Drosophila melanogaster: one gene and its partners. The gene in region 3 interacts genetically with the main gene of each other region. Each region holds a gene or a part of one and is shown on either strand. Other genes may lie near its edges.

What was found.
Region 1: of Bsg (region 3) and ND-42, changing one suppresses a phenotype caused by changing the other (phenotypic suppression), as found in Drosophila melanogaster (one study listed by BioGRID).
Region 2: of Bsg (region 3) and mys, changing one enhances a phenotype caused by changing the other (phenotypic enhancement), as found in Drosophila melanogaster (2 studies listed by BioGRID).

The regions. Positions count from the first base shown.
Region 1 is NT_033777.3:22,025,309-22,029,442, reverse strand, and holds ND-42 (NADH dehydrogenase (ubiquinone) 42 kDa subunit), read right to left. Parts: upstream 1,735-4,134; 5' UTR 1,423-1,734; coding exon 295-1,422; intron 228-294; coding exon 132-227; 3' UTR 50-131; downstream 1-49. Other genes in the region: Cchl (cytochrome c heme lyase), read left to right, coding at 2,406-2,995, 3,053-3,308; CG6028 (uncharacterized protein), read left to right, coding at 4,039-4,134. UniProt on the Drosophila melanogaster protein: Accessory subunit of the mitochondrial membrane respiratory chain NADH dehydrogenase (Complex I), that is believed not to be involved in catalysis. Complex I functions in the transfer of electrons from NADH to the respiratory chain.
Region 2 is NC_004354.4:8,059,546-8,063,679, forward strand, and holds the start of mys (myospheroid), read left to right. Parts: upstream 1-2,099; 5' UTR 2,100-2,180; exon of another isoform or gene 2,181-2,535; intron 2,536-4,134. UniProt on the Drosophila melanogaster protein: Integrin alpha-PS1/beta-PS is a receptor for laminin. Integrin alpha-PS2/beta-PS is a receptor for Tig, wb and Ten-m. Contributes to endodermal integrity and adhesion between the midgut epithelium and the surrounding visceral muscle.
Region 3 is NT_033779.5:8,086,148-8,090,281, reverse strand, and holds the start of Bsg (basigin), read right to left. Parts: upstream 1,979-4,134; 5' UTR 1,766-1,978; intron 1,673-1,765; exon of another isoform or gene 1,577-1,672; intron 1,180-1,576; exon of another isoform or gene 889-1,179; 5' UTR 619-888; coding exon 546-618; intron 1-545.

The DNA of each region.
Region 1 (4,134 bases), on a different chromosome or scaffold from region 3:
AGTATTTACAATCGATATTTACCATATTCGCTTTTTAACTAATTGGGTTCTGATTATTTTACTAGACTGTTTATTAGATAATTAACACATTTCGCCAGGTGATTTCAACTCGAAAGCATAGCAAAAACCCTCTAGATGCCCTGGTTGATGCCTATTTTCGTCTTGGTGAGGAGACCCTCGTCGCCCATGTCTGCATTGTAGCCAGGACGGTACTTCATGCCGGGAGCCTGTGTGCAAAGGGGCAGAATTAATGTGAAAAGAAATCGAACAGGGAAATGGAAACACCGAACTTACATTGAACCAGACATCACGCCAGACTTTGCCGTCGTCAGCGCTGCGCACCAGCTCCGGGACATCGAAACGCGGCACATTGAAGTAATTCATCAGATCGGGCTTCTCATGGCAGTACTTGATACGGGCTTCGCACCACTCGGCCTCCAGCGGGAAACGCCAGTCGAGCATCTTCTTGTTGTGAATATCGGCCTCAAACTGGTTGAAGTCGATGCGTTCGATATCCTCCACCACAACCTCAGTCTCACCGCCGGCTGTCCAGTCGTAGATGAGCAGCTCGGCATGGGTGGAGATGTCCTTGAGGTACTGCTGCTTGTACAGCTGCTCCAAATCGCTCAAGTAGGCATCGCTGAACACCTTTGACTGCACCTCGTAGTCCACATTGCGTGCCTTGATCTGCTTCTTCACGGCATCGACCGGCAGATCCAAGTAGATAACCAAATGCGGCTTCAGCAGCTCCCCGATGGTGTTCTGTCGGAGCTCATTATACACGGAACGCGCACCGCGTGACAGATAACCCTGCCGAAACATGGCCTCCATGAAGACAAAGTCCGAGTAGGGGCTGCGCTCGAGGACAACACCCTGGCCGGTGCTAAGGACGTGCTGCAGGGCATCAATGTACTGCGAATAGCGCAGCATGTACATGCGAATCTGGAACTGGGCAGCCAGATCGTGGCTGGGATCCAGGCAGAAGTTGCGCACATCGTAGCTTCGGCAGCTGGGCGGCAACTGAGGATCCAACTTCCTCATGTCATAGCCGTACGAATTGATGTAGATTAGGTCCAGATCAACTGCCGGATAGTACTCCATGTCCAGCTCCTCAGCCAGTTCCTTGGCGAACTTTGACTTGCCGGCCGCGATGGGTCCCTCCACACAGATCACCTTGGAGTTCTCGTCAAAACGCTTGGAGGTCTTGTCGAAAATAGCATTGAACACGCTGTACTTCTTCGTCTTGTACGGATAGGGGGCGGCCTTGGGCACCCGTGGTCCACCTCGCATCGTCTTGCCGGAGATGCTGCATCGCTGCTGGAAGGCAGCAGGCAGGGCATTCGTCTGCGCCTGGAGTAGATTGGGCGACTGTGTGGCGCGGCTGACGAGCCGCACCAGTCCTACGCGGAACACGGCGGTCATTCTGAAGGGAAAACAAGGGTCAGTACAAAAACGAAACAAGATAATAACAATTATATCTCGTCCAGTGGCAATTTGTCGTGTGGTTACATCACAGGAGCTACGCAGGTAGTGCGGTAATCTCTGCCCTAGAACTGCAGATATGCGGATCTTTTCGTTGCATTCTGCTGGCCAGCATTGCGGCGCTCCATAGATTTACCCAAATTGTCGGTTTTAATGCTCTATCCGGTGGTATTTACTCACTTTTCAATCTAAATATCGGAAGTCTACCCAAAAACAAATTTCGGGCTATGGTTGGTGTTGGAAAACTCCCCGAATAGGGCTGTCAAGGTATCCGTTCAAATATCAAAAATGTAAAATCAAAATGTTTGTCTATGCTTTAACTGCGACTTTTCTCAGAATCAGAAAGAATTTCATATGAAATGAAATTTAACCCAGTATTTTAAAAACTTTATATAACACTTACAAAATAACATTTTAATGTATAAATGTATTTGTTTTACTTTTTAAAAATATCGCAAAGCGACTGCTCAACACTACACAGCACAGCTGGGGTGTTTAACTACAAGTTAATTTACTTGAAATAAATTCAACAATGCTTTTCATTTGTAGACAGACACACACCATAAACTCACATTGCCGTGCGGTGCGAGTTGATTTTTTAAATTTTTAACTTAACATATTGTCACGGTGCAGAAACAACTGGTCCACTTTCCGTTGGTCTGGCAGCCCTGACCACAACCTCGCTGCATTTTGGGCTCAAAAGTTCTAACGATGAACTAACGAAAATATAAATCAAAATTTAAGGCGAAAGGCTCCAGGAGAAGATCGACAAATATCGAGAGTTGTGACCATTAGGATCGAGTAAGTCCTGGCGTTGGGGCCCAGCACTGGGAGTGTAACCCACTCCTTACAGTTACGCAACTGAGAACTAATGCGATTTTCCTCGTGACACAGATTTTGTTATTAACCAATCCCCAGCAGAAATGGGCAATACAGCCATCACCCGAGTGCAAATGGAGGCCACGAAGAGTGTGCCGGTGGACCACGCCAAGTACATGAGCGGCAGTGGTGCCCCGCCACCAGAATGCCCCATGCATCAGAAGCATGGAGATGCAAAATCGGCCTCCGCCGTACCCCCACATCCCAAGATGCAGGCCGCTTCCGAATGTCCGGTGCAGCACGACAACAGCGACGTTAATCCGCTGAATATGATGCCACCGGCAAACCAACAGCCGGCGGCAGATCAGCCCTTTCCACTGCCCACCGACCGCCAGACGTCGACCATTCCCAAAGTCACCGAGGATGGCAGCGTTCAATTCTGGCAGTATCCCAGCCAACAGATGTTCTGGAACGCCATGCTACGCAAGGGCTGGCGCTGGAAGACCGAGGACGTATCGCAAAAGGACATGGGCGACATCATACGCATCCACAATGCCAACAACGAGCAGGCCTGGCAGGAGGTACTTAAGTGGGAGGCGCTTCACGCCAAGGAATGCGGCAATCCGCGCCTCAAGAGTTTCGGTGGCAAGGCCAAGGACTTCAGTCCGCGCGCTCGATTCCGCAGCTGGCTGGGGTGAGTATACTCCAGACGGAAGATCTCACCTGAATTAATGTTCGAATTGTCTTACAGATACGAGCTGCCATTCGATAGGCATGACTGGATAGTCGATCGCTGCGGCAAGGATGTGCGCTACGTCATCGACTACTACGACGGTGGACTGGTGGACAAAGACTACCGCTTTGCCCTGCTGGATGTGCGCCCAGCCATGGACTCCGTGGACAACGTTTGGGACAGAATGCGCGTAGCTTACATGCGCTGGAAGTACGAGCTGTTTGAGAAGTTTGGCAGCGCGGATGGCGGCAAAGTGACCGCTGGTAGCGACTAGATGGAATGCATATTTAGATGATCGCTATAGGTACAAAATCGGCTTAAGTTATCGAATGGATGGAAGAGGGAGTTTGGTTAAATGCGTTTAAGACGCTGCGAAGCGAAACGATGTTGAGCCCTCTCTTTAAATAAATGTTGAATCTTGACTTCTGAACACCAAAATTCGAATGTGGTTTTGCTTTTTATTTTATTCTTTACTTAAATCCTTTTAAGGATTTCGAATTATCCAGTAACGAGTTGATAGCATTGTGGAGGAATATATTAATTAAAGTTTTTTTTTATTGATATACTTATGTATATGCAGAATTCTCATCTGTTCAAAATGCCTGTAAAAATTTTTTTTCTTAATCTTTAGTTTTATATTTTATTTATATGCTCTTTAAAATGATTGCGAAATTATAAAAATACGTTTACTACTTTTTTATCATTACTACAAATTTAAAAAATGTATAGTAAATAGAATATAACTTTAGACGTTTCTTAACTTTTTTAACATACATTTTCTGATAAAAAGTTGATATGCAACCCATAACATTATATGTATGTTTATATGTATGATGCTTTTCTAACACCTGCGGCTTCAGGGGGTTAATGTCTGGCAGTGTTGAAAAGCGCGTGTAAATTCTTTAACTGATTGCTGGTGCCCTCATTACGTGAGATTCGAGTTTGGCCACTGGAGCGTTAATTGGATAGCCGCGATAGATTCGTTCGACGTAAATCAGTCATAAATGCAAGCTGCCAGAATGAGGTTCGTTCAATACCTGCGAAAAGGTGACTTGGCCAAGCGACTTGGTCTACTGTCCGAGGATCAAAAGTCGCTGGTG
Region 2 (4,134 bases), on a different chromosome or scaffold from region 3:
ACATTTGGTATCTCAGTTATTGCACAGTTAAATTGTAAATAAACATGGAATGCATCGTTTTCCCAGGCCACGGGGAAAAAAGGGTTGTTGCGGCAGTTGAATAAATCCGGGGAAAAGCAGCTGTCGTGTCGAAATTTCCCTCCATTTTGCCGGGTTGCTGACCCCTAAGCAAATACTCGAAAACTAGCAGAAAATGCAAAGTGTCCTTGGGGCAAACCGAAGAGGCGCGCTCTTGTGTCGTTTTCCACTGTGCGAAGGTGGGCGGCTAGTGGTGGAGGAGGCGGGGGTAAACGCCACGTGCGCTGCACTTTTTAAACTTACTTTTCCTTTGGATTTTATCGTTCTTCTTTTCTTTTTGTTGTTTCGTTAAATCCACTCGTTCTGTTACTGTTTATTCGCTATTATGGGCGAATATATGTATATATCCGAATGACTTTTGATTTTGGCTTTGTTTATGGCCGCGCTGCCGCTGGATGTTGATTTTGTCTTAGCCAAGTTTAGCTTGTCGGTTTTGTTTGTTGTTGTTGCTGAATTGCGTTGTTGCTATTGTTGCTGAATTTTGAATTGAACATATACAACATACAGATTGTACACGATTGTTAAAAAGTTGCAACTGTAAAAATAAAAACAAAAAATATTGGTCACATCGGGCACTATTTTTTTTCTCGAGATTTTTGGATTTGCGCGCGCCAGAGAATGAGTGTGGCGTAAAGAGAGGGAGAAAGAGTAAAATCCCCAGCGACAAATGTAACGTAACCCACAACGTAAGCGTCTTCTGTACGTCACCACGCTACGTAGGCCACGTAACGGTATGCTAACGTTACCGACGGCGCCGCAAAACCGCAAAATCAAAAAATACAATAACAAAATCGACAAAATTATAGATTTTCAATGTGCACGTCGGTTTCTTTTTGCTAGCGAAAATCAACTAGCGCTAGTATATTTTGCTTTTGTTTTTTCTCATTTCGAGTGAAACTTTTCGCGCGCTTCTGCGTGTGTATTCCTCTTTTTTCGTTTTTTCTTCTTTTATTTGTTAATATTATTCACTTGGTGACTACACACGTTCATGCTCATGCCCCCTCACTCGACACACACACGCACACACACTGACGAACGTTTCTGCTTCTTGCTCCTCTTTCGTTCGCTTTTGTTCCACCACCGAAAAAAATGAAAAAAAAAATTTGTCATGTCCATTGAAGTCTCACATTTTTCAAATGCATTTTTTGGCGCTAAAATCTTATAAATTTCAACATTTTTCCATTCGCATCTGATCCCCCGCAATTAGCACTCCACTTCGAACACAAATTTATATAATTTTTGCCATTTTTTACCACAATTTTTAGTAATTTCTACACACCGATATATACGTACGCGCTACGATTTTTCGACAAACGCGCGAGTTTCTTCTGAGTCGCCATCAAATATACAAAATTTTTTTTCGAAATTACTGAAAATGCGAATACACACGCACACATGGACAGCCGACGGGCACGAGGCGCACGCGCTTGGTACATGCGGCTATGCCGCTCTAACGCACTGCTTTTATTGATAAATCGAGAGCGGGACAGCTAGAGCTACCGGCCGAGAGAGAGCATGTGAGAAGAGCGTTCTGTGCGAGTGTGTGTGATAGAGAGAGCCAGAGAGCAAAGTAGTCACACATACTCTCGCAAACTCATAGTGGCTTTCGTTCTCTCCTTTTCTCAACCATTTGCACGTACTTTTAGCTTTTTCATATGGCTATTTGGGAAATTCACCAGCAGTTTACACTTATGCTGTTGTTAGTTTTAATCCATTTATACTGGTAGAACGTAGATTCGTCGGCTACTTTACATTAATTTCGTAACGTAAGCGCAACAAAAACAAGGCTGTCATCGATATAAGCAGGCGTTTTTGTCTGAAACTATCGTGCAATAAGTGACTCCGATAACCAGAGTTCCTTTACGTGTTTCTCGATTACTTATCGGATTGTGTTTGCGAGCACAAATGTCTCTTTTAGCGGAGACACAGTCCTCCAAAACTGTGCAACACTGTTCCTAGGCTCGGTGTGACCAGAGCTATTTAACAACACTGGCGAACATCGGATGGCAAATATCGAAAGAACATTGACTGTTGTTCCACCCCCTGCTGACACCATCTGGTAACACTGAACAACAGACCAGATCCGCGGACAAAGCAAAGCAGTAAATATTAATTTAATCCAAATCCAATTCCCGACACCAATTGGCGGCCTTCAGCTGCTGCTTCTGCAGTCGAATTGTATTTTTTTTTTTGGTTTTTCGTGTCACCCGATAAGAGTTAAATTCGCTGATCTAGCGAATAACGGTGGCAAGTAATTGTAATAACTGCGTGTGTGCACAGTGCTAGTGTTTAGTGTGCGAGTGTGTGCGTGTGAGTGGGAACTCCACAAGTGTGCGAGAAGGCAAATCAAAATAAGAAAAGTGCCGCCCTGATGGAAATTAATATCGCGAATTATCAGCGAAAACGCAGCGAAAGTTAAGCCAAAGTGCTGCGATTAATCAGATAGCGGGTGAAATAGTGGGTATTACGTAAGAAATCAATGGATTCCGGGCTGCATTTGCCCAAAAAAAGAGGAAGCAATATCGAAGCGCTACTTTTATCTCCTCTTTTTTCGATGATTTCATTCGCAGTGACGACACACAGGCACGCACACACCGAACGCCGTATCTGTGTGTGGGTTGTTTGTTGAGCTAAAAAAAATAATGAATCCTCACGATACATTCACTCGTTTCATTTTTTTTGTTATTATTATTCATCATATTTATTTATTTCTTTGAGTGTGCATATCGGCGACTTCGCGACGCCAATTGCTGATTACGCCCCCTCCCTTTTCAGTGCAACTTCCCCACCCCGGAGATCTTGCACTCGAACTAAAAATCGAGTAGAGTACGTAGGCAGAAGCGAAAAGAGCGTACAAAAATCAAGAGCTCAGTGGCAGCAGCAGGAATTTGTGTTTGTCAGGGGATTGCCCAGATTTTCGGGGTAATTGTCCACTTTATAAACAGCCAACCGAATTTGAAACCAACTGTAACTGGAAGTAAAAACCAATTTTACCAAAGCTATCAAAAAAAAAACAATAAAAAAAATGAAATCCTCTGCGCGCCGCTGGTTTAACCAGTACGCCCACATGTGGGCGGCCCAGATGTGCCTCGTTTTTGGCCCAATGGCTGTGGGCGTCCATCCGTGGTTGAAACTATGCGCTGCAGATGCTGTTTACTCAGGCGGTTTATAGTATTACGAATTTGCTAGCTAAAAAACTGATTAAAACTACTACTAAGTGCACAACTCATAACTTTGATATGCTGTGACTGGGTGTATAAATGATAATCGAATGAAATTATTCAATCCAAGGGTATATAAACATGGGCTTAGTCGTTTTTAGTTTGTTTTCCTTTCGGCACACGATCTGCTGCAAATCAAGCTCTGTGGTGTGTTAGTGTTCGTTGTGTTGTGTGTGCGTGGGCGTTTAAAAATAGCCGACCAACACAACACCCATACGTATACGTAATCTGCAGCCCTTTTTTTTCCGTTCCGTGCATATGGAATTTTGATTTGAGTCTTGAGTGGCTTGGAGTGAGTGATTCATGTGGCTTTAGGCGGAAAGGAAACCCAGCGAAGCTGACTCAATGACCACTCATTGTTCGTTCGGCCTTTGTTTACATTTTGCCAGGAGCCAAGAGAGCGAGAGAGCGTGCTAACGGAACGTGCTCGAATGAGTAATTCGCATTGCATTTGACGTTTATCGAAAGCTCTCTTCCTTCCGCTTTTTTCCTTTTCTTTTCGGAGGCCAACAAAAAAAAACAACAAAAGCACGCAGGCACGCACACCCACACACAAGTTCGTACATCAATCGCTTGGTGTGTGTGTGTGTTTGTGAGATGAGTCATCTGGCCAAGTTGATGAGAAAATAAAATTAAACATTAAGGTAGAGCGAAAGAAACAACAAAAAAAGGGGACAGATGTGCGGCCATTTGCTGTTGTTTGTTGTTGCAATAAAGAAAAAAGCAGGGCACGCGGAGAAAGCAGTGCTCGACAAGCAGTGCAGTCAGCAGCTGGACTTTTACGTACACCGGCGTTCGTAAAAATTGCAGCGAAATCGAAGAAATCAAATTGTGT
Region 3 (4,134 bases):
CGTATTAATACTGTTTGTTTCCATTATTGCGGCTAGGGTCTGGCTTTAGGGTGAACTTGGAAGGGGTAAAAGTCAGGTGGTGGGTGGACGAACACCCTCGCCCTTTGGTGGGTGCACTTTTGTTTTGGGTGGCGGGGCAATTAGGGGGCGTGGGATAAGGTTAGTGGGTGTTACAGTAAGCCACAAACAATCTGCTGTTTTTTATTTATTCCCTTCCTCCTCTTGCTCCACCTCTTTGTTTTGCTTTGTTCGGTTCGGTTGTGTTCTGTTTTGCAATTTCTGCTATCACAGCTGCAGTTTAACCATACTTTCCCCCATATACATATGTATGTATATTTTTTGTATTCCTTTATACTGGGCTGCTACGTACATAGGTGTGTTAATATTATATGTGTGTATGGGTGGGTGTGTGGTTGGGGCAGGGTGATTTTATGGGCGGGGTACAACTTATAGGTTAAAAGGGCCTTCTTTGTTTATCATTATGCTTATTGTAGGGGGTTCATTCTTTTAGATTTAGAGGGGTTTTTTCGGGGGGCTGTACTCACCAAGTGATTGAGCATAAATCGCTAAAAATATCGAGAGGAATGAAAGAGCGCTAGCCAAGAATTTTGCCTCCATCTTTGGTATTGATCCGTTGTTGTTGTTGGTTGTTGTTAATTATGCTGCCGATGTGTGGTTGTTGTTGTTGGCGGTGACTTGTTGTTGTTGTCGTTTTCGTTATTTCCTTGTCATTTGCATTTATTACAGATTTGTGAATTTACTCCGTTTAATGATTGATTAATTATTTGTGGCTGTTGGTTGGTTGGTTGTTGATGTTGTTGTTGGTTGTGGTGTTTCTTTTTCTTTGCTTTTCTTATTTTTTTTTTTTTGTACTTTAAGCTTAACTTACTAAATCATTATGGTAAATATTAATTTATAAATAGATCTTTAAATGTATACGTTATTAGGCTTAGTTATTTAATTTGATATTAGTTGATGCTGTTGATGTTGTTGGTTGGTTGTTTGCTTTGGATCTTCCGTTTGGTGTTTTGCTTGAGTGCGAATTTTTCTATTTTTTGGCTCTTCCAGCTTTCCTATTTTGTTCTTAATTCATGAAGCTATATTCGCAAATAAAAATATTTAAGAAAATTTCTCATTTTGCATTTATTTTCGTATGAAGGCAAACTTTTCGTGCGCTTCCCCGTATTCTTTTTGTTGTGTTTTTCGTTCGGTTTTATTTGTATGCTTTTTTCCAACAACAAAGGCAAAAGGAAAGACGAGTGAGAGAAAACTTTTTAAAATTATACATCAATATTCAAATTAAGAAGAGATTGTGGAGAGGAGCGGAATCAAGGATACAAAAACAAATCGAAAAGATCAAAATCAAAACGAAAGCCGAACGAACAACATTCAACATTCAGCTAAATGTATAATTTTTCAAATGTCACATTTAATTTTTTTTTGTTTTATTTTCACTGCAGCTAAGCACGTGCTGTTCACATAAGTGGGGCGGCGGGTGGTTGGGTTTTTCTTTTAGCCCGCTAATTTAACGTTAACTTTTGCAGTTCTTTTTTCACACGCACTCACACAAACGCACATCTAACTTTTCCCAGTCCAAAAGTTCTATTTTTTTGCTGGCTAAGCAGAAAAAAGAAATTATGGCACGTTGACGACGAAAATACTATTTTTCTGGCTAGCCAACGAGCAAAAGAGAGGGAGATAGAGTGAAAGCAAGAGAAAGAGAGTGAGGGATTCTTGAGACTGAGAGCAAATAATTATGTTTTACACAAGGAGCGCAACAATTTCTAGCTGCTTTTTAGCCAATGGCCATTGTTGTTGCTGCACGTACTTGTACTAGTGTAGTTGTTGTTTCTGTTTGGCTGTTCTTGCACAACGGGAACACAAAAAGCAAACGAAATTTGGCAAACGGACGGGCCAAAACGAGGCAAACAGAACAGAGCGAACAGAGCGAACGCGGCGAATTCAGCGAGCAGACTGAATCGCACACATGACCAACGGACGAGAGTAGCCGCCTTCGCTGCGGCAGCGACGTCGACGCACAGTGATTTGGGTTCAGTTTGACATACACTTGTCAGCTTATCTAAATAGTTCGGCCGTTATCTTGACCAGACCGATTACGAGTACTGTACAAAATGGCGAAAAATAAATCGAGTTTAAACGACATTTTTTCATTATACAGGAATCTTTAGGAATTTGAAATCACCTGTTTTATTTAAAACAAAATGCAGAAGCTAGGTCTGACTTCAAGCTACTAAATTAGCTAGAAACTTAAAAAAAATTTTAAAACCATAAATTGAGTTATTAATCAATATTTGCTCTTGGAAACCTTATCTTACAGTTCAATAGGAATTTCCCAAATTGACGGAATTACAATGTACTTGTGCTCGTATGGGCCTGAAAGTACGCTACTTTTATTCACTTTTCTCTCAGCCTATAGAAGCACTTAAGGAACAGTATCAAACAAATTGCAATCGAGCAATGATTCAACAAAAATCACCAAGTGACAGAGTCTGCGAGTAATTACGACCAATTATTTGACGATCGAAGAAAAATAGCATTCCATTTGCTTCACCGCATGACGTCCGCATAAAAGCTGATAACAATTGGCCCGAGATCTATTATTACTTCTAGAATTTCGTATTGCGGATGTGTCGAGAAAACAACTATTCCCACTCTTATCAATGCGGGAGGACAGTCACCGAGTAAGCAGAATAGATAAGAAAAAAAAAAGGGTAGAAGCTATCACCAGAGCTGGCCGATTTCATTATCCATGAACATTAGCTTTAAAATTCCTCAACTGACGAAAGGCATCAATGTTTGAAAAACAGCTAAAATAATAAACCTTACATAAGAATTAAAATTCTTACTCGTTTCTATTTCCCCCCAAAATAAAAGCCATAAAACACGTAAACATTTTTGAAAGCAATTGTGTTATACAAGGAAACAGCTCAAAAAAAACTAGTCAAAATAAATTCTCAAACTTTTGGCAATAAAACCGTCGAACGGACAACGCTAAATCATAGTGCGCTGGATTTTTTGTTTACCGCCAGACGACGTGCGGCCCTCAGCAGAGCAGATAGAACGCCAGTTGAAATGTTTCCGTAACGTGTCACGAATCCGACTCTCATTCTATCGCATTAAGATAAAGCCCCAATGCAGTACTTTGAACAAATACGGGACTCCGTCCGTCCGTCCGTATCACCAACACCAATACTACCGCAACCAAAAACCACACCAACGTCTTGGCCACATGATATAATACCGTAGCCGGAGCATGGTCGACAACGACGTCAGATGTCCGCGGCCCAGTCGCCGAGTCCCAAAGACCCAGACCACCAGACCGTCCAAACTGACCGCCTCTGGTCCATTGCCGTCCCGCTCGCACTGCCGCTCTGGTTTCGGGCGGTTCTATGCGGTTCGCACACGAATGTAGATCTCCATCTTTTCGGAAGGCAGGGAACTTTGCTAATTCGGCATGGGTGTTGGAAAGGTAGGGGTTTTTTGCGGGTTGGCGGCATCGAGGGGGGTTGTCTCGTCGCATTTATTATTGGTCAGCCGTATTTATTTTTACAAATTTGCGAGAGCAAATATGAAATCAGCTGTTCGCATTGCCCGCTGAGATTAAAGCGATCAGGGGGGTATATAGTATTTGATGAGGTGTTTCCAACAACCAAACCATAGAGAACATTTTGCAATGCTTGCAATGAGTTCATAAATAATAAAGAAGCAAGAAGAGTCATAGGACTTGTAGTTGACAATAGAAGTACTAATAATTGACAAATTTTCCAAAGTTCTTGCCAGTTGATAAAGCGAAAAATCTATTACTCATAATTGACGTGTTCGCACAAAATAAAACTGTCGACAGATAATGTGATTGATGAAATATTTAATATACTATGTACTGCATTGGCCACTATGCCTTTATAACTAATAATCTTGAAATTTAGAGATTATAGTGAAATTTATCAAAAAACGACCACATGGTTCATGGCGTTTACGTGTTAGACTTTCAATTTAGGTATTATTATTATTCCATTAAATTTAATTACCATAACCACCTAATTTATTCTCACTGATGATAATTTTCCATTAGCTTAAACTAAAATCAAATTAATGGCAAAATATATAGCAATT